Notamacropus eugenii: one gene and its partners. The protein of the gene in region 1 purifies or fractionates together with the protein of each later gene. This does not show direct contact. Links are inferred from orthologs where the notes say so. Each region holds a gene or a part of one and is shown on either strand. Other genes may lie near its edges.

The links. Proteins that work in one complex are often made in the same cells at the same time.
Region 2: the proteins of EFTUD2 (region 1) and CDC5L purify together in Homo sapiens (affinity purification with mass spectrometry; 6 studies listed by BioGRID and IntAct, with this or other methods). This does not show direct contact. The link is inferred for Notamacropus eugenii from reciprocal best matches to the Homo sapiens genes EFTUD2 and CDC5L.
Region 3: the proteins of EFTUD2 (region 1) and PRPF6 purify together in Homo sapiens (affinity purification with mass spectrometry; 6 studies listed by BioGRID and IntAct, with this or other methods). This does not show direct contact. The link is inferred for Notamacropus eugenii from reciprocal best matches to the Homo sapiens genes EFTUD2 and PRPF6.

Annotation. Positions count from the first base shown.
Region 1 is NC_092873.1:349,016,001-349,023,891, forward strand, and holds the start of EFTUD2 (116 kDa U5 small nuclear ribonucleoprotein component), read left to right. Parts: upstream 1-4,874; 5' UTR 4,875-5,134; intron 5,135-7,140; 5' UTR 7,141-7,144; coding exon 7,145-7,249; intron 7,250-7,891. Other genes in the region: DNAAF19 (dynein axonemal assembly factor 19), read right to left, coding at 916-1,365, 2,587-2,731, 2,920-3,062. UniProt on the Homo sapiens protein: Required for pre-mRNA splicing as component of the spliceosome, including pre-catalytic, catalytic and post-catalytic spliceosomal complexes. Component of the U5 snRNP and the U4/U6-U5 tri-snRNP complex, a building block of the spliceosome.
Region 2 is NC_092873.1:107,878,749-107,885,751, forward strand, and holds the start of CDC5L (cell division cycle 5-like protein), read left to right. Parts: upstream 1-3,985; 5' UTR 3,986-4,273; coding exon 4,274-4,318; intron 4,319-6,715; coding exon 6,716-6,819; intron 6,820-7,003.
Region 3 is NC_092872.1:496,238,639-496,246,245, reverse strand, and holds the start of PRPF6 (pre-mRNA-processing factor 6), read left to right. Parts: upstream 1-4,589; 5' UTR 4,590-5,416; coding exon 5,417-6,057; intron 6,058-7,607. UniProt on the Homo sapiens protein: Involved in pre-mRNA splicing as component of the U4/U6-U5 tri-snRNP complex, one of the building blocks of the spliceosome.

The DNA of each region.
Region 1 (7,891 bases):
CTGGCACTACTACCTCTCCTCTTTGTGCCTTTGTAATTGCCTCTCCCTATGCCCAGAATGTGCTTCCTTTGCAACTCTGTCTTATAAAACCTCAAACTTCAACCACCTTCTCCACAAAGCCTTTCCTGATCCCCTTAACTCATACTGCCCTCCCTAACTACCTGCTTATATAGAATTTGTCTTTTTGATGGAATGTAAACTCCTTTGTTTCATTTCTTATATTGTATGTCTAGTGCCTGGAATATAGCAGATATTTCATAAATGCTTGTTGATAGCTTTTCTCTTATAGTGTTCACTTTATCTCTTTGGGAGCAGTTTTTCTCTTTCATAAATCCTGGAGAAGTATGTCTATAGTCTGACAATTGTGAACCACCCTTCAAAACCTGGGTAGCTTGACAAATCATTTGCTGGTAATTCTCCATACACTAACTCAGAAAAACTCAATTCTAGGGAAAAAATGGTGTTCCCCCACCCCAAGAAGGTGTCAAAGTCTGTCAATAAACTATCTTTATTGGCCTGGGGTAGATCCTTGTAGATATTAATGGACATAACTAATCACAGATTTTAAAATTCTGCTTGCATGGGTTGATGATAAGCACTAGGGTAAAGGACCTTAATCTTAGGGACAGGAGGCCATTCTTAGCAGGTTTTAAGGATGAGAAGCCAAATGTGTCACAATTTCCCAGTGCTCTCATAAGAGCCTTTGGCTGTTTGAAGTCATATAGATTTAAAGAGACCCATTTAAGGTTAGGATGAGTGAAACCAAACTTTTGCTGCAGTTCTTGAGGGACAAGGTTAAAAGAAAATGTTTGGAGTTAGGCAACAAGATGGCCAACAACATTAAGGACTTTCTAGGAAAAACAAATCTCCAGGAGCTAGTCAGGTTTGCTGTTTGTCCTGAACAAGACAAGATCTCTAGCCAATTTGGTATAGCTCTGACAGCTCCTGGAGGAGTTTCTCATCCTCATCATTCCTACCGTGTGATTTCTCTAGCTCTTGCTCCTTACAGATCAGTTCTTCCTCTGTGGGTCTGGTAACATACATACTTTGGAGTTTCTGAAACAATTTTTGGCAGCTCTCTCTTTCAGCACTGCTCAGCAGGCTCAGGTTGAGGCCAAATCGGCCAGTTCTGGATAGGCTATGAAGGATCTCCAGTACAGCAGCACGGTCAGCTGGCTTAAAATTCTCTGCCAATGTCACCAGCAGTTCACCGAGGAGTCCAAAACCCACATCTACTCGGAAAAGGTGGCCCAAGTTGGGGGCCCCAAGCTGTAACAGGGTCTGATAGCGTTCTGGTCCATTCTGGAGGTAGCGGCGCCAAGCCCTATAGAAATCTGAAGATGTCTCAGGCTGACAATCTCCCTTCTAGGTCAAAGGGAAAAGTAAAAAGAGTTATGTCCTCAAGACACTAAGGAGTCAATACTTGCAAGCTCTATTCCTAGCTTTTCTACTGACTCAGTCTTCATCTCAGGAAAAACATGACCCTTTGTGGGCCTCAACTTCCTCATATAAAATAGGCTTTTTAAAACTTCCCATTGTCAGGCACAAGTGGGATCTTGGGGACTAGGGTGTTAAAATAACAACATGATTTAGCATCATATAATGGAAATTTACAAAATGTGGATACAGCATATTCTAAGATGGGAAGGGAGGTAGGCCACAGGTCTCAGAATCCTAGAGGTAGATCTGATTGGCTGAGAGCTGACAGATCCCATCTCCTCATCCAAACCATAGTGACTGTACATACAATGGGACTGCACTTCATACTTCATGTCCTTAGCAGAATGTTCTCTGGATCAGTGAGCCCATATCGTCCTTCTACTCCCTCAACAGAATTTGGTGCAGTTTCTGCTAGTTACAGCTCTATAAACAGTGGTTGAACTGGGAAAATATGATATAACATAGATAATGTTAATTTGTGGTTTCTCTAAGTCAATATCTAGCCCTGCAGGGATCTATTTCTATTTGAGTTCGGCACTTCCTCTCTATAGAGTACAGAGATCCTGGCCAAGGTCACAGAATCTAAGAGACTGCTCTGATTGGCTGAGATCTGACTAACCTGTCTCTTTATCCAAATTTTGAGATGGTTCTGTACCCTGTACTTGTCACAGCCTGGAGTCTGTGTACCCTAAACCTGAATGAATGGGATTTCTTGAGTGTAAGGGGAATGGAGCTTTTCCCCAAGGTGATGACGTGGTGGGGCTTGCATGCCTCCTCCCCAGAGATGTCCTTTCCTTGAAGTCCTCAGGATGCCTAGGGTACAAATGCCTCCTTGGAATTCTTGAAAGATGGGCCATCCCCTTTAAGTATGACAGCACGTACGAGTAGGACTTTGTACTACGTGTGCTTAGCAGACTGTCCTCTGGGACACTGACCCCCCCCTGCAGTCCCCAGACTCCCAGCACTTAGCTCAGTGCCCAGTACACAGTAGATGCTTAATAAATGTTTATGGAATGATTGGATTGGATTTAGTCTAAAGGCAGTTTCCGCTAGTTACAGCTCTGTAAAAGTTTTGTTAATTAAGAAAAAGAAGCATTACAAGTAAAGGTTAGGGTTCCCCAATGGACTATAGAATGGCTATTTCACCTGGGAGATATAAGTGCTCTCCTCCTGAGTGATGCCTGTCTGAGCAGTGGTACTTGTCACCTGACAGTTCCAAGGCACTGTCTTCTTGATATTCATCTTGTCCTTCCGCTCTAAAGGCTTCAGGTGTGAGGCAAGGACAATGTCCCTGTGGGCAAAGGAGACAGTATTTGAGGGAAGACTCCCCAGGCTGGGTGTGGAGGTATGGAGCTGCTGCCCTAATGGTTCCTGAACCCTGTAACTTCAGCTGCATAAACATGGTGCTATAACTATTTAAGCTAACTGGGCCATGGAATATAGTTAGGACAGCTCTGGGGTAAAGTTGTGTAAGCCAACCTGAACTCTTCATAGGAGGCCACCTTCTGTTCCACAGCCCGGAACTTGGCAGCATTCTCTCTTTGGTATTTCTCATCAGCAGCTAGTGCAGCCTGCAACTCCTTCTCCAGAGCCCTAAAGTCAATGGTATCAGTCTTTTCCATGTCTGGAACCTGGGAGTGAAAAAGAGGGTGAAGTCCAGCAATGAGACATTACCAGGGAAAGAAGCTACTGTATATCATGATAACTCTTTGCCATTCTAAAAAGATTAAAGCACTTTGTCCAAATTATCACTCATCTCAAAGAGAAAGTACAAAAGTTGTCTCCCCATTTTAAAAAAGAAAGGATCTAAGATATGTAGCAATGGTCCAAGATCCCACATAACACCATTGTTTCACTGGGAACAATGGACAACATTTATGTAATTCTTTAAGGTTTGTAATTACACCTACATATCCCACAACAATACTGTGAGGTAGATACTATTATCATCCCCATTTTATGGATGACAAAACTGAGACTCAGAGAAGCAAGTAACTTGTCCAGGGTCACACATGTAGCATATATCTGAAGCAGTATCAAACTCAGACTACCCTGATTCCAAGTCCAGTATTCCATCTACTGCCGAGGACTTCTAAGTTCATATTCCCATCTAGACTTGCTTCTTGACTAAAGACTAAATTGGCACATGTACTGTTAGTCTCTTTATTGAAAAGGTGGTTTAAAAAGCCATTTGAAATTGGGAGGCACCTTAGAATTCAGACTTTAGAGAACTTCCTAAGAACTCGCTTGGAGTGAATGAAGGACATATGGTCACGCAGTCACACAGCAGATGTGACTATAGCTCCTTTTGAGCCTAGGATAAATTTCAAGTCCTGTACATCCAAGACAGATGTAGTGTTGGGGAGGGAGTAGAACCACACAAAGGTTGCTGAATTTTCTAAGGGAGTGGATGACTCTTTCCAGCCTCTTCAATTGTAATAACTGAGCTAGAAGGAGACATAAGAGTATCTGAAAGAATTGGTTAGGATGAATGCTTCTTGACCTTGTGGTCTTGCTCTCTTCTGGAGTCGCTTGTATCACATGGTTCCAACTCAGTGGACACCTGTAGCAGCAGGGGTAGATGTGGACTAGTGAAAAACCAATGCCTAGAGACTCGTGTCTTGCACAAATTAGACATTTCATAAACATTCCCCGAATTGAACTATGACAGAAAAATGGATGAAGGGAAATTTTTTCTTCTACTTGATTTGGATACCTTTGCAGCCAGTCCCTTCTGCCCTTTCCTTCTCAGGTCTCAATGCAAACTGGCTCCCTGCACCTCTGGGAGGATGGAGCTACCCTGAAGGCTCAAAACTGTTGTGGCCATTTGCTCTCCACAAACCCTAACAGATTAAGATCTGTAAAACCCCTCCAAAACCCATGTGGTCCAAGCCCCTCTTTGGAAGGGTGCTTCAGAGCTTATCCTGTCCAAGTCTCCCACTGGAGGAGGACCCTGAGACCCAGAGAACACACAGACACACAGACACACAGACACACAGACACAGACACAGACACACACAGACACACACACACAGACACAGACACACACACACACACAGACACAGACACACACACACACACACACACACACACACACACACACACACACACACACACACACACACACACACACACACACACACACACACGCCCCCACCCTGTAAACAGACCACGCAGAGCCCAGGCATCCTGTGCCCGACCCAATTCCAACTGCCCTGAGAACTAGTAGAGCAGAAGGCGAACCTACCCTAGCTCCTGGTCAGCCGTCGCTACCCTCTAACCCCCTCAACTCAAGAAAAATCCTCATGGTTCTCCTGCCTAACAGGGGGCTCAGGCTACAGCCAAGCGGAAACAGTTGCCTAGCAACAGTCTCACTCAAGCAGCCCACGTGATCGGGCCTCTCCCCGTTCGAGCTGCCCTAGTGATGCCTGATAAAATGAAGGCCGCGCTTGCTCGCTAACGTCGCCTGGGCCGTCACGCTTTCCTGTCCGGCGCGTCGCAGGGTTCCCCCAAACCGCCCCTTCAGCCCGGAATGGCTCTATCCTACTCCGGCACCTCAGGCAGAGTAGCAGGCGGCGGAGGAAAGGGGCGTGGCCTCGACGTCGCGCGGGGTCCTTCCTAGCGAGCGTCGCAGGCGCCGGCCCATCTTCGGACGGAGAGAGCGCGGTATCGGCGTTGGGATTTAGAGCTGCAGGTGAGGAGTCGGCGGCCCCGAAGTCGGGGCGTGAACTCGATCGGATGGGGTCCGAGGCTGGCAGATGTGGAAGGGGTGGACCTTAAAAGAAAACCTCATCTTACAAAGGAGGGCACTGAGGCCTTGGGGCAGGCCCGGCCTCTGCTCGGGTCCCACCAGAAGGGGGGATGAGGGGGCCGGGCCTGGTCGTGGTGGGGAGGGCCGGCGTGTCACTGATGGGCCCGGTCGTGACCGTGGGCAAGTTTCCTAACTTCTGCGTGTCCCTTAGTGGAGTGGAAGCTCCTTGCGAGCAGGGACTTGTTCTTTGTGGTTTTTTCCTTCCTCCTTTTCTATCCCCAGCACATGGCCCTTAGGAGACACTGTGTTTGTTGAGTTCAATGAGCAATAATACACATTTTGTCAGGTGCTTTAAGGTTTATACACCGCTACCTTCCCCTGTACTCCCCCATCACTCAGAAGGCCCAGGTGCTTTATCCTTAGGTGACGGATGAGGTCCTGAGAAGCTAAGTGACGTCATCGCCATCCTCATCATAGCGGACGTTGATAAAGCACGTTAAGATTTGTAAATCACTTTACGTACGTTAGCGCGTTTGTTCTTCACCGCGGTCCTCCGAGGTAGACGCTGATATTATCTCCATTTTACAGATAAGGAGAATGAGGCTGACAGAGGCTGTGACTTACCCAGGGTCATCCACAGCTAGTAAATCTGGTGTGGATTTGAACTCAGATCTTCCCAACTGCACTGGGCCACCCAGCTTGTTTCACTAATAAGCGTCAGAGCAGCGAATCCAAGTCCTGTTAGAAGGGTGCTTGCTGCTGAGTAGGACCTTTAAGTTTCAATAGTTTTAAACTGTAGTAAAGCTTTTGGGATGCCCTCTACACAGTGCTGGGCCCTTAATACTAGAAGATATGTTTTATCATGCATATGTGCACCATATTTACATCCTGGCACACTTTGGAAGAAAACTTCTCAAGTCATCCTAGCTAAAAAAACAAAAACAAAAGAATAGGTCATGGTTTGGTTACCTTAACTAAAAAATAACAAAAATAGGTCATGGTTTGGCGATTTACTATATAAGATACCTTCTGGTAATGAATATTCAATTAATCTAATCCTTGAACTGCGCTTAGTACAAGAAAATTTTCTAGCCTGTCTAGGACCTGCCTGAGCTAATGTAGTTCCGCCAGGATTGACTTGTAACACCAGTGTCACCTTATCACATTGGGGCACTGGAGTAGAAGCTTAGTAAGGGAAACACAGGCATGTTTATGGCTTCGCTGGAAGTTGATTCAACAAATGTTTGTTTTAAATTTTTGTTATTGATATCTTTTTTTTTTTTACATTGCCTACACTTCCTTTGTTATTCACCTAACCATTCCTCCTGTCAAAGAAGAAAAAAAGTCGTTGAGTAAAATTAACCAACTAACCAACACTGACAGTATATACAATTCAAGAAGTATTTATTAAGTACTTTTCATGTGAAAGTCACTTTTCGTTTGCTGGAGAGATACAAAACATAAATGAATCCCTTCTGGTCCTCATGGAGTTTACATGTTTGAATCAAATGAGAACAAATCTTAAAGTATTTTGAAAGTGTAAAAATTCTAGAGAACCAGATTGTACACTTAAACTTCACAGGATTTATATCAAATGGGTTTATCTTAGAAAGCAGTAGATACTTGGTTGGTGTTTCTTGGAGTGGAAAGCTTGGAAGCATCTGTGGGAGAAATAGTACAAGTAGTACAAAAATATACAGGAAGTTTTATTAATTGATCTTTAAGGAACATATAGCATAGGATTTTATTTTGCTCTGCAGCTAGCATAACAGAACTCAGGAGGAGCAAAAAATAAACAGTTCTGGGTACTGTTCATTTTACACTGAAATGGAAGCTAGTTTAAAGGTAGTCAGTCATGGTCAGGAGAGGGAACATATATTCACCCTTCTCTTCTTTGCCTGCCCACAGATTACTTATATTTTTTTGTTTTCTTCCCCATGGATATTTAGCATCATGGACACAGACCTCTATGATGAGTTTGGGAATTATATTGGACCAGAGCTAGATTCTGATGAAGATGATGATGAATTGGGTAGAGAAGCCAAAGATCTTGATGAGGTAAGACTACTTTAAAATAAAGTTTTACCCACCCCCGCTCCCCCTTTTATTTGGAGGATATGAAATTTTGTGTCACTGAGAATAATAGCTGGCATTTACATATACCTTTAAGGTTAGCAAAGCACTTTATCAATATTATCTTATTTTATCCTCACAACGCCTCTGAGAGGTAGGTGCTATTGCCATCTCCATTTTACAGTTGCGGAAACTGAGGTAAGCAAGTCACATGATTTACCCAGAGTCACACAGCTTAGCGTGTGAGGTGCTAGTGTCTTAGTGTTTGAACTCAGGTCTTCCTGACTCCAGGAATAGTGTTTTATTCTCTGTGCCACTTAACTGCCAGAATAGAGAATGTGAAGTACTTTATTTTATTCTTTCCTCTAACCTTTTCAGGATTTTTGATGGAAATTTTTCAGGAGGTGTGATATTTTGAAATTTTATTTATCTTTTTCAGATTTGTTATTTATTTATTTTTAATGTTCCTTCTTTTTCAAATTTTGAGTTCCAAATTCTTTTTCTCCCTCCCATCCCCTCTCCTACCCACTGAGAAGGCAAGTAATATATCAGTTATATATATGAAATCATGCAAAAGATTTCCATACTAGCCATATTAAAAATAAGAGAGAGAAAAATTTTAAAGTG
Region 2 (7,003 bases), about 240 Mb from region 1:
GTTGTCCAAGATAAGGGGCCTGGTAGCAGCAGTCATCTCAGGCAGAGCAGTAAGTTATGGGATGGGTTAAAAGGTTGGGTTAAAATCCCTGAGGTTACCCTTCCTCTCTGTCCTAATAATGAAAGGCCTGCTAATGCTGGCTGAAGGGCACTTTTAAAAATCACCTGGTGGATATATCCATAATTCCAGAAGATAATTTGTTACTAAATTTAAATGTACCTTTAATACAGCTAAATAAATTTAAGTGGAACTTAGGTCCTTTATGTCAGCTGATTTGTAAACTTTCCCCTTCGAGGTAGGTGTGAAACTAATTAGCCCTTCCACCTCTGAATCTCGAAGCTCTCAGGTTTAAACATTATAGAACTTAGACCATATCACCAGCAAGGCTGAAAAAAAAACTTATAACTGTGTCAAATAATAAGTTTTAAATATCTTATCAGATAAAACAAGGAAGAAATATTTTAAAACTATAATATAATCTTGCTTTTACTCTGCCATCTTGGCTCTGCCCCCTATTATAATTGTAATGAAATAAAACACACTGAACAAAAATAGCAGTTTTTGGACAACTCTTTAACAACTGGGTTTATAACCTAACAACCTAGCAGTATCCAGATTGCAAGAGAAGTAATTTTTCTAACTATGTTGATATTAGCAAATTTCACAGCATAAGCATGCACTTTATTTTATATTAACAGTATTAGGAAATATATAAGCAGCTCTACCAGTTTAGATTCACAATTGTTATTATTAGGTTAGTTCAAAGTATGCCAGGCCAATATTATAAGCCATTGCTGTTAACATTTTTCACTCTAAAATTCTGGGTTGAGGATTGATTTTTGGTTCAGGCAAAAAACCCTACAGAGTTTAAGCTGATGCTGGTGGTCATGGCCCACTGAAGTTGTAGACGGTTTTCACAGAACACAGAGTTATTATAATGATTCTACAATAATAATGAAAAAGTTTGGAATATTGCAAGAATTACCACAATGTGACAAAGAGACATGATGTGAGCTACGTGCTACTGGAAAAATGGCATTGACAGACTTGCTTGACACAGGATTGCCACAAATCTCCAATTTGAAAAACAAAACGCAGCATCTCCGAAGCACAATAAAACTTTGGGATACTTGTATAAGGTAGAAGATGAAGCTAGTGGATGACTGACACCAAATACGTACTTGGGTCCTCCTTACTGCTTCTGAGGATCAGGGCAATTAGTTGTACCCTCCCCTAGAATTACCTACTTCACTACTTTATACTTACACTCTACTTTGTATCAGCTCATACAAGTTTTCTCATTTTTCTGAATTCCTCATATTCCTATCTTCTTACAGTTCAATAGCTTTCCATTGCATTCATATGCCATAACCAGTTCAGTTTTTCTTTAGTCAATGGGCATCTTTTTTCTAGTTTCTCATTTTTTTTCTACCACAAAGAGTTGCCAAGAATATTTTGGTATATGTGGGACCTTGCTTTCTGTCTTTGAACTCCTTGGGACCCAACCATGTTGGAATTGCCTCGGGCAAAAGTAGGAATAATTTCATGACTTTGTTGTTATTGTTGTTGCTATATTAGTGTGATGGTGCTCCTGCATTGCTTCCAACATTAACTATTCCCATCTTATGTAACTGTAATTTTGAGGGGATATAGAGCAAGTTTCAGAGTTATTTAATTTGCATTTCTCATTATTAGTTACTTGGATCATTCTTTCACCTAATTCTTGATAGTTTGCATTTCTTCTTTTGTTTATATCCTTTGCCCACTCATCTCTTGGGTAATGGATCTTGGTAGCATATTTTGGGTCTGTTCCCTACATATCTTGGGTTTAACAATTTTATTGTAAATATTTGATGCAGTTTTTTCTTCCTCTTTTTTTAAAAATCTGGAAGTCTTTTAAAAAATCTTTTTATATTCTCCCAATTACATGTGAAAACAATTTTAAATATTCATTTTTAAAACTTGAGTTCCAAATCCTCTCCCTTCCTCCCCACCCACACCTCCCAATGAGAAGGCAAGCAGTTCAATATAGGTTATACGGGTGTAGTCATGCAAAAGATATCTATAATAGTCATGCTGTAAAAGAAAATATAGACAAAAACACTCAAGAAAAATAAAGTAAAAAGGTATGCTTCAACCTGTGTTCAGAAACCATCAGTTCTTTTTTCAGGGATGGATAACATTTTTCATCGTTAAGTCCTTCAGAGTTGTATCATTGTATCAGAGTTGATCATTGTATTGCGGAGAATAGTTAAGTCATTCACAGCTGATCATCTTACAATATTGCTGTTACTTTGTACACAGTACATTCCACTTTGCATCAGCTCATGCAAATCTTTCCAGGTTATTTTGAGAGCATTCTGCTCATCATTTCTTATAATACAACTATTCTGTCATAATCACATAACACAGCTTGTTCAGCCATTCCCCAATTGATGGGCATTGCCTCAATTTCTAATTCTTTGTCCCTTTTTTCTCCTTATCTTCGTGATAATTTCACATCTTATTCCAGCTGTATTAATTTTGTTTCTGCAAAAGCTTTTAAATTTTAGGTAATTTAAGTGATCTGTTTTATGATCATTTCTATCCCTTGTTTGGTTAAGACTTTTTCACTAAGCCGTAGTTGTGAAAGGCATTTCTTCCCATTCTCTTCTAATGGGAATGGCACTCCGGATGTATCATATCTGGGTCAGCTACTATTCCTAGCCTTTTCTTTTGAAGTGCCATTCAACTTCTTCATGTGGCGTATTGGGACTGAAGACTTAGGGTTGGAATTCAGCGGTGCCTTTGTCACTGATGATGAAAATAGATTTGTAGAGAAATGCTGACAAATCTGTCCTCTTTTTTGGCTGTTTTCTGCCAACCAGTTGTATTTATGGATGCTGGTGGTATGACGTAACTCAGTTCCATCTCAAGCTAAGCGTTCTGTAGTTGTGTCAGTTCTCCTCCAAGTCACCCTGAAGGTCACCTATGCTATGCCAAGGTGAAGAGAATTATATACTTGGTTCCAACCTCAATCCAGCGTGGATTCTTATCTTTTACAGAAAGCCTTTCCTAATTCCTCTAATTTTAATGTCTTCCCATTTTTAATTATTTCCTCTTTTCCCTATATATACCTTGTTTGTACGTATTTGTTTCCTTGTTGTCTCTAGTAGATGGTGAGCTCCAGGTGCGGAAACTGCCTTTTGCCTCTTTTTTGTAGTTTATAAATACTAAATAGTCTATCCTAGTATTTATAAAAATAAATCACATATAACGATAAATAATGACAGTACACAATCATAAGAACAAATATCTGTATTCTAGAAACAACAAATGTGTATTGGTTGACTGAGATTCCACTCACTGACCAGGCAAAACATAAAAAATAAAATAATAAAGCAGTTAATTGAAGCATATGAACAAAATAGAACAGGGGGAAAAACACCTTGCAGAAAAATTCTTAACCTCTCCTAAAGCAACAGAAAATAGCCGTCTCCCACCTCCCACTCCCCACACTCCCATGCCAACTGGGAAAGGCAATGAATCCTTCAGTACGGGGTGTTGGGGCTGGGGGGGGGAGAGGCACGTGGGGGAATCACGTCTAAAGTCCCTTCCAGCTCCCAGTGTACGGTCCTAAGTCACACCTGGCCGTCTACACCTGCTTTATGATAATTACTTATTAGTATTGTTCCCCCAGGAGACTATATAAGGTCCTAGGGGGCAGGAATGGTGTCCTTTCTTTTCTTTCCGTCTTTGAATTTCTAGCCTAGTTCAGTCATTCATATTACAGACGCCTAATAAATACTTATGGAATGGAATGGAATCGAATTCCCTAGTTCCCGTCCAAAGCTTTTAACTTAGGAATTTAGAGTTACCCGTCCACGCGCAAGGCAAAACCACCAGCCATAGAACTGTTCCCGTGTGTGACACACCTCCGACCCTCAGGTGGCGCTATGAGCTCCCACTCCTCTCTATCCCCGCCTCCCACCATCGACGCAGCCGCAGATCGACCCGGGAACGAAGACGCAGCTGTCAGCTTTTTATGCGCATGCGTGCCACTACAAGCGAGGCCGGGCGCTTTGACCGGGAATCTAGCTATCTAGTTTGGGTTACTCCCCGCGACCCGGTAATCTCGCGTGACTAACCTTCTCTCTGCGCCTGCGCACAGCATTCGGAAGCCGAAGGTCGTGCTGGGAAGAAGGGTCGGCTTTGGGTTCGGAGGCCGCTACGCCATTTCAGTGTTCGCCCGATCGTCTCGGCTATTTGCCGAATCACTCACCCTTCCGCCAAGATGCCTCGGATTATGATCAAGGGGGGCGTATGGAGGAATACGGAGGTGAGCGTCGTCTTCCTGTCACTCTCCCTGGCCCCCTGCGGTGGTGTGTGCGCATGCGCCATCTGATGGTAGAGCAGTTATGGGGGCGGGGAGTAGGGGGTTAGAATCCTGGAGTACGTAAAGTTGGAGCGGACCTGGCCCCCGGGTGCTTTTCCTCGCCCTCCACCTGCGCTTTAATTTGGCGCCACCCCCTGCCTTTCCAGGCTTCTCTCATGCATTCCACGCACTCTGTGATGCGGGCAAGGCTGGGCCGGTGGGCAGCGCTCCATTCTCCCGCCCCCGGTGCTTTGGCTCCTACTGCCCCTCGGGGCTGGAATGCCGTTCCTATCTGCCCCAGAATGCTGCACTTCCCTTTATCCTCTAAAGCCCAGTTGGCACACCTCCTCCAGGGAGCCGTTTACGGAATCAAGAGTGGTCCTTTCGGATGGGTCTCGTTTCTAGGGAGTTTTTCCTTGGGCCAAATCAAAATTGGTTTTCTGCCGACTCAGAAATAATAATAATGATACAATAATAGCTAGCCTTTATACACCGTTATAGGGTCTGCAAAGTGCTTTACAAATCTCCTGGGATCCTCACCACCCCTCTGGGAGGAAGGTACTGTTATTATTCGCATCAAACAGATGAAGAAACTAAGGCAGACAGGGTCCCGTGAATATTAAACGTGTGAGGCAGGTTTTGAATTTAGGTCTTCCTGACTCTAAGTGCAGCATTCTACGTATTGTGCCATCTAGCTGCTTCTTGTACTTCCACTGATTGTACTGGATTCTGTTCTCTGAACACATCTAATCCTCCTTCCAAATGATACCCTTTTTTCATGCTTCAGTAATTTCTATTTTTTGTTACTCTGAACTTTACAAACACCCATAAATGTGACCTTCCATATTCAACAAATAGAAAAAAGATTACGTATAAAAATAAAAATATTGCTTGTTTTTAAAAGAATAGAATAAATTCAGTTTGTTAGTTTCAGAGCTGTCTTGTTCCTTTATATCTAACCTCTGAACCTTCTGGAGAAGGTTCTTTGTCCTTTTTTCTGTACTTTTTTAGTTCTTCAGTGATCTTCCTTCTTTCTTTCCTTTCTTTTCCCAAAACCTTAAACCCAGTGCACTCTGAAGTTGGACAACTATAGGTCCTTGCCCAAGCTCCGCTTAATGGCTGGCTTAGAGTGATTATCAATAGTAACAGTTTCTTTTTCCCTCCCAGTTTGATTTACTTATTTTTTTCATTGGTTCATTAAAAGGGCCATTCCCTGATTACTTCTGGAAGAGGCCTATTCAACTCAATGGGTGTTACCTCCTTCTAAGTGAGTACCTGAAAAGGCCTAGCCTAAAAAGGCCAAGGTCTCCCATTGCATCCTGGGCCATCTGCAGTCATCCTGATGAATATCTGGTACTGGATTCAGATGGCTCTGGAGGAAAAGTGAGGCTGGTGACCTGCACAGCCCTCCCTCACTCAAAACAAAGTCAAGTGCAAGTCATGTCATCATTTCTCTGATGCCATGGTCCTCTTCGACAATGAAGGACAAAAACACGAAGTCTTGAGAAGACTAGTTACTGGGGGAGGCTGCACCACTTTTCCAACCTTGGGGACAATCTTTCCTCCAATGTCCCTTCTGGTCACATGTGCACAGTTCCATAGGCATTGATTCCTGGGGCTCCCTCTGGGGGGGCGGGCGCCCTGGAGGGGCACTCCTTGGACCAGTGACCCTCCTTTATTTAAATGTTTTTTGACAATTTTGACAATTTTTTGACAATTAATGTACTGTCAACACTCTTTGAAGATAGACCTAGATTTACCCATGAATTTCCAGGCCCAAGCCTCCTATAGAGATATTAAGCCAGTGTAATAATAGCAGTAGGTAAACTTTACATAATGTTTTCAAGTTTGCCCAGTAGTTTACATATATATTTACTCCTCTGTGAGGTGGGTACTATATTAGTTATCCCTGTTTTACCATTGAAGAAAATGAAATGTAGAGAAGTCAAGTTTCTTGTCAATATTAAGGGAGTGAATATCAGTGGTAGAATTCAAAACAGCCTTTGGGACTACATGTCCAGCTTTCTGTCTGTCATGGTATAGTGGAAAGGGACTCAATGGAAGAGTCAGATGAGTTAGTACCAGATCTGTCAGGTGTCAGCCAGGCTGCTTTGGGAATCACCTTACTTCCGTTGGCCTCAGTTTCTTCATTGATGGAGTGAAACCATTGAATCACATAACTTTTTAAGGTCTCTTACAGCTGCACAATTTCCCATCCTCTTTTTGGAGGGGGACAGGAAGGGGTGTTCCCTAACCTTGCTTGGAAGACTACAGAAACCTTATCAGAACTAAGCTAGATTGATTCTTTCTGGTGAAAAATAATTTTTGTTTGTTAAATCTTTTTCTTGTTCATTTTCTTAGGATGAAATTCTCAAAGCAGCGGTAATGAAATATGGAAAGAACCAGTGGTCTCGGATTGCTTCACTGTTGCATAGGAAATCAGCAAAGCAGTGCAAGGCCAGATGGTATGTGCAAGTCAGCAAAGGGAACCTTGGAAAAACTTAATGTGTACTTAATGGTAATAGGGGAAGTGTGGTAGTTCTTTGAATTTAGTTAAGAACAGGAATTAAGAGTGTAGTGTAAAGATCTGAGAGTCAGGAAAACTAGGTCCTAGTCCTGGTTCTCTTGTGAACTTGTTTGACTTTGAGC
Region 3 (7,607 bases), on another chromosome or scaffold:
GGTTATGAAGGGTTTTGAATGATAAACAGCATTTTGTATTTGTTCCTGGAGAAAATAGGGAGCCACTGGAGTTTATTGAGGGTCATATAATGTGCAGTTGAACTAACTCCTCTACAGGGTCAGTGTGAAGGAAGCACTCTGTAAACCCTTAATGTGCTATAGAAATATGAGCTCCTCTTCTCTCTCCAGCCCATACAACTCTGGTAATCCAACTGGGTCTCTAGAAAAGAAGAAAGTGATGTATATGTATAGTGAAATGAATATTAGATGAAGTCAAAAAATCTGCTTTTAATTGAGTCCTCATTACTGATGCTGAGTTGTATGGTTTGGGGCAAATAAGTTAAGCCTCTATCCTTCAACCTAGCTCCCTATTTCTTCCTGGTTCTTCCAAGCCCAAGGGTAAGAATTCTGCCTTGGAATGTTACTTCTCCGAGGAGAGGTATAGGTGATCAGATTTCCAAATCAGGCGCAGTTTCCTTCCATACAAGATTTAAGGACAATACTCTGGCTGAGGGAAATGAGGAGGTAGAGACTGAACTCAGGTAGTTTTTGTCAAAAGAAAGTAAGTTTCCAGGTGCTCAGGACAATTGAGATATCTTAAGGCGGATAGGAGCTGGGTGTCAAGCCACCATTCCCCAAGGGGTATCCTAGATTCTCTGAATCTGAAGATCTAAAGGGGATGTAAAGTCCTTAAAAGTATGGATTGTCTCACTGTTTCAGGCAGAACTAAAAAGGTGACTCATCAATCAGTCAATTAATGGGTGTTTATTACATGCCTATATGCCAAGCACTGTAAGCACAGGGGATATAAATATAAAAATGAGGTAGTCCTTGTGCTTCCTTTGAATCTTTGAATTCAGTGAGGCTGAGATTTTCCTCATGGACTTTGGAAATTCATGATACTCCCTCGTCTTCAAGATATCTCAGATGTCCTGGGCACGAAGGAACTATCCTTCCTTTGGATAAAACCCCCCAAAATTGAAGAGTAGTCCTGTCAACCGTAGATATAGTCCAGCTCTGAGTGAACTCTGTGATTTTTTTTCCCCACTTAATATTATTTTATTTTTTCCAATTATATGTGGACAGTTTTCAACATTCACTTTTATAAGAGCTTGAGTTCCAAATTTTTTTCTCCCTCTCCCCCTTCCCAAGATGGCAAGCAATCCGATGTAGGCTATACATGTACAGTCTTATTAGAGATATTTCCACATAAGTCATGGTGTTAAAGGAGGAATCAGAACAAAAGGGAAAAACCACAAGAAAGAACAAAAAAGAGAAAATAGTATGCTTTGATCCGCATTCAGACTCCATAGTTCTTCCTCTGGATGTGGACAGCATTGTCCATTATGAATCTTTTGGAATGTCTTAGACCCTTGTATTGCTGAAAAGATCTAAGTCTATCAATGTTGGTCATTGAACAGTATTGCTGTTACTATGCACAGTGCTCACTTCACACAGCACCACGAACTCTGATTGTTTTTGGGAGAATAATGTTGTCTATATCTCACTTATACCTAATTCTAGGTAAATTAGAATTTCATAGTCAGACTCCTAGGGAAGTTCTGTGAGGGAAGGTCCAAGGCAGGAAGGTAAACCAGCCACAATATAAACCTCCAAGGAGGTGAAGATCCTTCAAGTTTCCTTGGTCTAAGTATAGATACCCCATGTACCATAGTTTCTCAAATTTCTGGGTCTCTTTACAGTAACTCCTAGAAATGATTGAGGCCATCCCAAAGAACTTTGGTTCACGTGGAGTTATGTGATATTTATTGTATTAGAAATTAAAATGTCTTCATATAATTATAAAAATAGTTTTGACTCCATGGACCCTCCTGAGAATTGCTGCTGTAAACCCTATGCTGCAAAGAGAAGGTCTAAATATTTCAAAAGAAGGTTTGTTAAGTCAATGATAAAACAAAATAACATGTGACTATGATCTTCAGAATATGTAGTATCTAAATCTCTGAATTCAGAAAGGTTTGGTTGGCAAATTTTAGGGACTCCATTCTCTATTTTCTATTTGCATCCTCAACTTTTGCCTCAATCCTGTTTTAGAAGCCTTGGGAGAGCAGCCCTTCCTTATCTGATCCCAGGGCTTCCTCCCAGGAAGAGGGAGAGATCTCTTTATCCTGGTGGAGTAGCTTGGTCTCTCTTGGAAGACCCTCTCTCTTTCTAGGGTTCTGGCTCTATACATTTTAGTCTTATTTTTTTTTTTTTTTACCGTAGTCTCATTCCTATTCTATGTCCCTGTGGCTTTACCCTGAGGGGCTGCTGCCACACCTACACGCTCCCACAGCCAGGAAGTGACGGTCTCCCTTTTTGTTGCCTAAACATGCCCACAAGTTTCTGAGGCCAATTTTTTGCCAGGGAAAACAGAGAAGAGTTGATGACTGACAGGTCCTAAAGTTAATGAACGTTCAGCCCTTCCCACTTCCACAAATTGGCCCTGTGGGAGGGACTCCTGTGAGTTTGAGGAGTGAATACTAGGAATATGCTAGAGTCAGCTCAAACCTCTCAAAGAGAGAGCTAAATGTTAAATTTTCTCTGTGTGTATTTCACCTCAGAAATTAGTCAGTGTTACAAATCAGGGTTTGAGCTATTGCTTTGTTGATTGTCTAGACTTAAGGAAGTGATGGAGAAATTGTTAGATGAAGAGTAAACTTATTAGTTTGCCATATGTCCATTTTTCCAGAGAGCCGGTTTTTAAGCATTTACTCCTATACCCCTGGGTGATGTGTATGGGGTGGTGATGATGGTATTAGTAGAAGAGTTCATAGTTTCAGGCCCTCCAACTTCTTCCCTCAGAAGGGGCTATCAGAGCAGGGTACCTAACAAGGCACCTGGGGCATTTCCTGTGTGATCTTGGACAAGTCTCTTCCAGATGAGTGGATTGATAGTTATGTAGGTCATATACTTGCCACAAGTCTGGGCCAAGGAGTTATAAGGAGAAAATGGTAGCATGCTGGTAGGTATAGAGATACTCATGTGTATATGAGCAGGAATGTGGAATATAAGGAAGTATGGGGGAAGTTTGACTCAGGGGATGTTGCCCCTCCATTCTGATCATTTTCTCTTTCCCTTCTACTGGTTCTGAGGTCTGGTGGCTGAGACATCAATTAGACCATACTGAATGACCTCACTCTAGTCTTCCTTCCACTCCTGAATGTCTCAGGACAGGAGCAGAAGATCTCTATGTCATAGGATCCATCTAGCAGTGGCTACAAGAGCTGGGGAACCCTGAGAAGGGGATAAATTAGAAGCTGGTGTGTATGGGAAGGGACATGTTAACCTGTCTAGAAGAGTCCTGGCTATCAGAACCCCAGAACCACACCGGGATAAAGTGAAATTTAAAGGAGATAAAAGAACAAGTACACAACTGAGAGATGGCTTGGAAAGGTCTTTGGTACAAAATGTTCTGTTCAGCATTCAAAGCCCTTTATAATTTAGCCCTCTCCTATCTTTCCAGTCTTCTTACACTTTATTTCCCAGTACATATTCTTCAATCCTGTGACATTGGCCTCCTAGCTGTTCCATGAAGATGACACTCCATCTCTCAGTTCTGGGCATTTTCTCAGCTGTCCTCCATGCCTGGAATGTTCTTCCTTCACTCTAACTACTAAGTTCTCTGGCTTTCTTTAAGTCTCAGTTAAAATCTCACCTTCTACAGGAAACCTTTCCTAACCTTTCTTATCTCCAGGGCCTCCCCTCTATTAGCCATTTCCTATTTTTCCTGTAACAGAGCTTGCTTTGTATGTATTTCTTTGCATGTTGTCTCCCCCTTAGATTATAAGCTTCTTGAGAGTAGGGACATAACTCAAAATTATACAAGACTCCTCAACAGAGGTATAGTTGTGTGCCCCAGTGAGACTTTAGCAAAGCTGAAAGGTAAGGATGGGTAAAAATACAGAAAAATGTATGGTAAAGTCTTTAAATGCAAAATTAACATTCCACATCTTTGGAAAGTTCAGATGCTTGAACAGCACAGTTGCATATGAAAAGCAGGGTGGCTAGGTGGCGCTATGGCGCACAGATTGCCATGCTTTCTGTCAGGAAGCTATACCTTCCTGAGTTCAAATCTGACCGCAGATACTTACTAGCTGGGTGATCCTAGGCATGTGCTGAACCCGTTTGCCTCAGTTTCCTCATTTGTAAAATGAACTAGACAAAGAAATGGCAAACCACTCCATTGTCTTTGTCAAGAAAACTCCAAATGGGGTCTGGAAGAGTTGGACATGACTACAATAACTGAACAACAACAAAATTCTCCTCATTCCTCCTGCCAGAAGCTCATGGTTGTTGTATTATATAAGATAATAATTGTAACACAATAGTGCCTGATACATAAAAGTGCTATATAATGTTAACTATTATTATGTACTCTCATTTCTTTTCCAATTTGTATGACAGATTCTTCTCAATCTCCTTTGCTGGATCACTGTCCATGTACTCTCCCCTGCACCCCTGAACCCCACCTCAAGGTACCATGTACCATCTTCATTTCTGTGCCAAAGTCAAATATTCTTAACTTTTTTGGGGGGGGAGGGACATTTTTGGCAGTCTGGTGAAGCTACAGATCCAATCTCAGAATAATTTTTTTTAATGTATAAAATATAATACATACAATTGCAAAGTAAAAAAATTATAGTGAAGTTATAATCAAAATATTTCTAAAAACCCAAGCTCTTAGTTCCCAGGTTAAAAGCCCCTCTTGTAGGTGATCTCATCAGCTTCTCATGGATTCAAATGTCATCTCTGAATGTCTGCCCAATCTACATATCTAGCCTACATCTCTTTCTTCAGTTCCAATCTTACATCACCAACTCCCTGCTGGACATATTTGCCTTGCCTGGATGCCCTGTAGGCATCTCATACTCAACATGTTCACAACAGAATTTCACAATCCTCCTTAAGCCCACCCTTCTTCTTAACTTCCATGAAGGCACCACAATCCTTTCAATCAGGTTTCCAAACTATGTTGGGCATCATCCTTGACCCTCAGGTCTTCCTTAACCCCTATATCCAATGAACTGCTAAATGTTATTGGTCTAACCTTCACATCTCTCACATCCTTCCCTTTCATTCATAGTCAGTCTTGGGTAAAATACAATCTCCTTCCTTTAGTCTGCAGAGTCCTTCCAAAGCCTCTTCTCAGACTTACAATCCTGCCTTTCAGCCACACTGACCTACTGGTCATTCCTCTGAAGCCTGTCTCCTCTCCTTGCCTTTGTGCACTGGAGACTTCTCCCCTCACCTTTGCTTTTTGGGCTCCTTCGCTATTTCCGTATCTCGGCTCCAGGCTAATGCCCTGACCACGGACTTTTCTGGTTCCTCGGTGCCACCCCCTGAATTATTCTGTATTTATTAGCCTGTCACTTTCCCCAGGGTGGCACGGAAGCCACTTGACTTGACGGTACGCATGATTTCATTTTTGTCACTCTATCTACAGGTCCTAGCAGAATACCTGGCAATTTTAGCAAGTGCTAAATCAAAGCTTCTTGAACGAACTGAATTGTGTTTTCGTGCGTCCGTGTTCACGAGCTGGGAGCTTTGTGTCTTTACGTTACGTGTATCGTATCCGTGGGCGGAGCCAGGTAGGAAGAGCGTGGGCAGCTTTATGCGGGGAGGGGGAGAAGCTGTGTACCTGCGCGCATGTGCACAAAAGGCGCTCCCACATTCCCACGCTCCCGGCGACCTCCCCAGAACGGATCTCCTACGCATGCGTAGACACCTACCACTTAGGGCCCTCGCTGTTTTGACACCGTCGGGCCGGAAGGCTAGGGAAAAAGTGCTTCCTGTCAACCTCCAGAGAGGAAGAGGAGGGGTGGGGCGTCGCAACGGAGACGTTCTACACTTCCGGGTTTCGGGTGACGTACTTCCTCCTCCTCAGGTCCGAGGTTCTGCGACATCTCAGTCTCGGAGGAGTACTTTGGGGTGTCCCCCTTGGCTTCCCCGGAGATCCCCGGCTTTCCCGCTACCAGCAGACACCATGAACAAGAAGAAGAAGCCGTTCTTGGGAATGCCCGCGCCCCTTGGCTATGTGCCGGGGCTGGGCCGCGGGTGAGCGGGGACTGCAGCAGAGCCGAGGCCGGGGCCCGAACGAGAGCGAGACGGCCTTGGGCCGGTGGAAGCTGCGTCCCTCATCGCTCCTCCGCCCTCTGGTCGTCCGCCCGTGCCCTCGGGGGAGGGGTGGGGAGCGGTGGAGGCTGCTCTGGGGGGGCTGGTCTGTCACACACACACACACACACACACACACACACACACACACACACACACACTTTCCCCACCCCATACTTATCGTCCTTTCTATTCTCTTTTCTCTCTGTCTCTCCTCATCCTATTTATCCCTCCCCTGTCTTCCTCTCTCTTCATTCCCTCCGATTCCCCAGCAGGCCTTGATCTTCAGTTCGCTCTCCTTACCCATCTTTATCCAAACAAGTACTGCCTCCTAATAGTGACCACCGTTCAGTACTAAGTAAGCCGCGGGGTTTGCCAAAGACTTCTCTTGCAACCCTGCTGTGACTGATGCAAGAATACATCCCCTACGTCTTACAAGTCGGATACCTGGGGTTTAGGGAGATTAGATGCTTTGCCACCTGAGCCAGGAAGTGTCACTGCAGGGATTTTCAATTTCGGGATTCCTGATTCAGCCCAGGGCTCCTTCTGGGAAACCCCACTGCCTTACGTTCAAGCTCTCTTTCTTGATCCTGGATTGGACAGATTGTAACATTTCATCTTTCCTACCTGTAGCTCATCTTTCGTCTGTCTTAATTGATCCAGTTAGGGGAAAAAACTGAACACAATGTCCTTTCAGCAATAGACCAGAGATTTCATCTTCCTATACAGTTTAAAGCATTTAAGTTTTGTTTTGAGAATACAGCAATGCTTAATTTCCGTTGAAATAGCACTGTGGCATGTTGAAATTACTTTTTCCTCCCCATAAATTTCCCTTTACTAGAGAAATAAAAGTGTTTAGGAGTATGCTAGAAAAACAGAGGAGGGAAATGGGTGTAAGGGTAAGGTAGATGAAATGACATTTTGCTCCCTTATCTTCCCTAGCTTACTTCATGTCTGTTAAACCCCACCTTCTACAAGATAACTTTCTTTCCCAGTTGTCCTGAATATTAGTGTTTTTCCTCTCAGATTTTCTCCATTTTGTATATAGTTGTTTGCATGTTATCTCCCATCATTAGGAGTCCTTGCTCCTTGAGGGTAGAGACTGTTTTTGCCTCTGTCTCTGTATCCCCACTGCTCAGCATCCTGCAGCATAGCACCTAATGAGTATTTTTTGACTTGATTGAAATCTGTTAAGAAGTAATATGGCTTCATGGATAGAGGCTTCACTTGGATTAAAACCCTGCCTCTTATACTTATTAGGTGTGTGACGGTCCAAATCAGTTAACCTTTCTGAACCATGGCTTCTTCAAATACAAAGTGGAAAGAGTAAGAGATGTACATACCTCACAGGATTATTTTGGGTCTGAAATGAGACAACGTGTAAATCACTTTGCAAACTTTAAATCTTTATATAAGTGTCATATATTGATATTAAACAAATATCTTAAACATTTGTGGAGAGTGATCATATATCAGTAGCTGAATCCATGCCA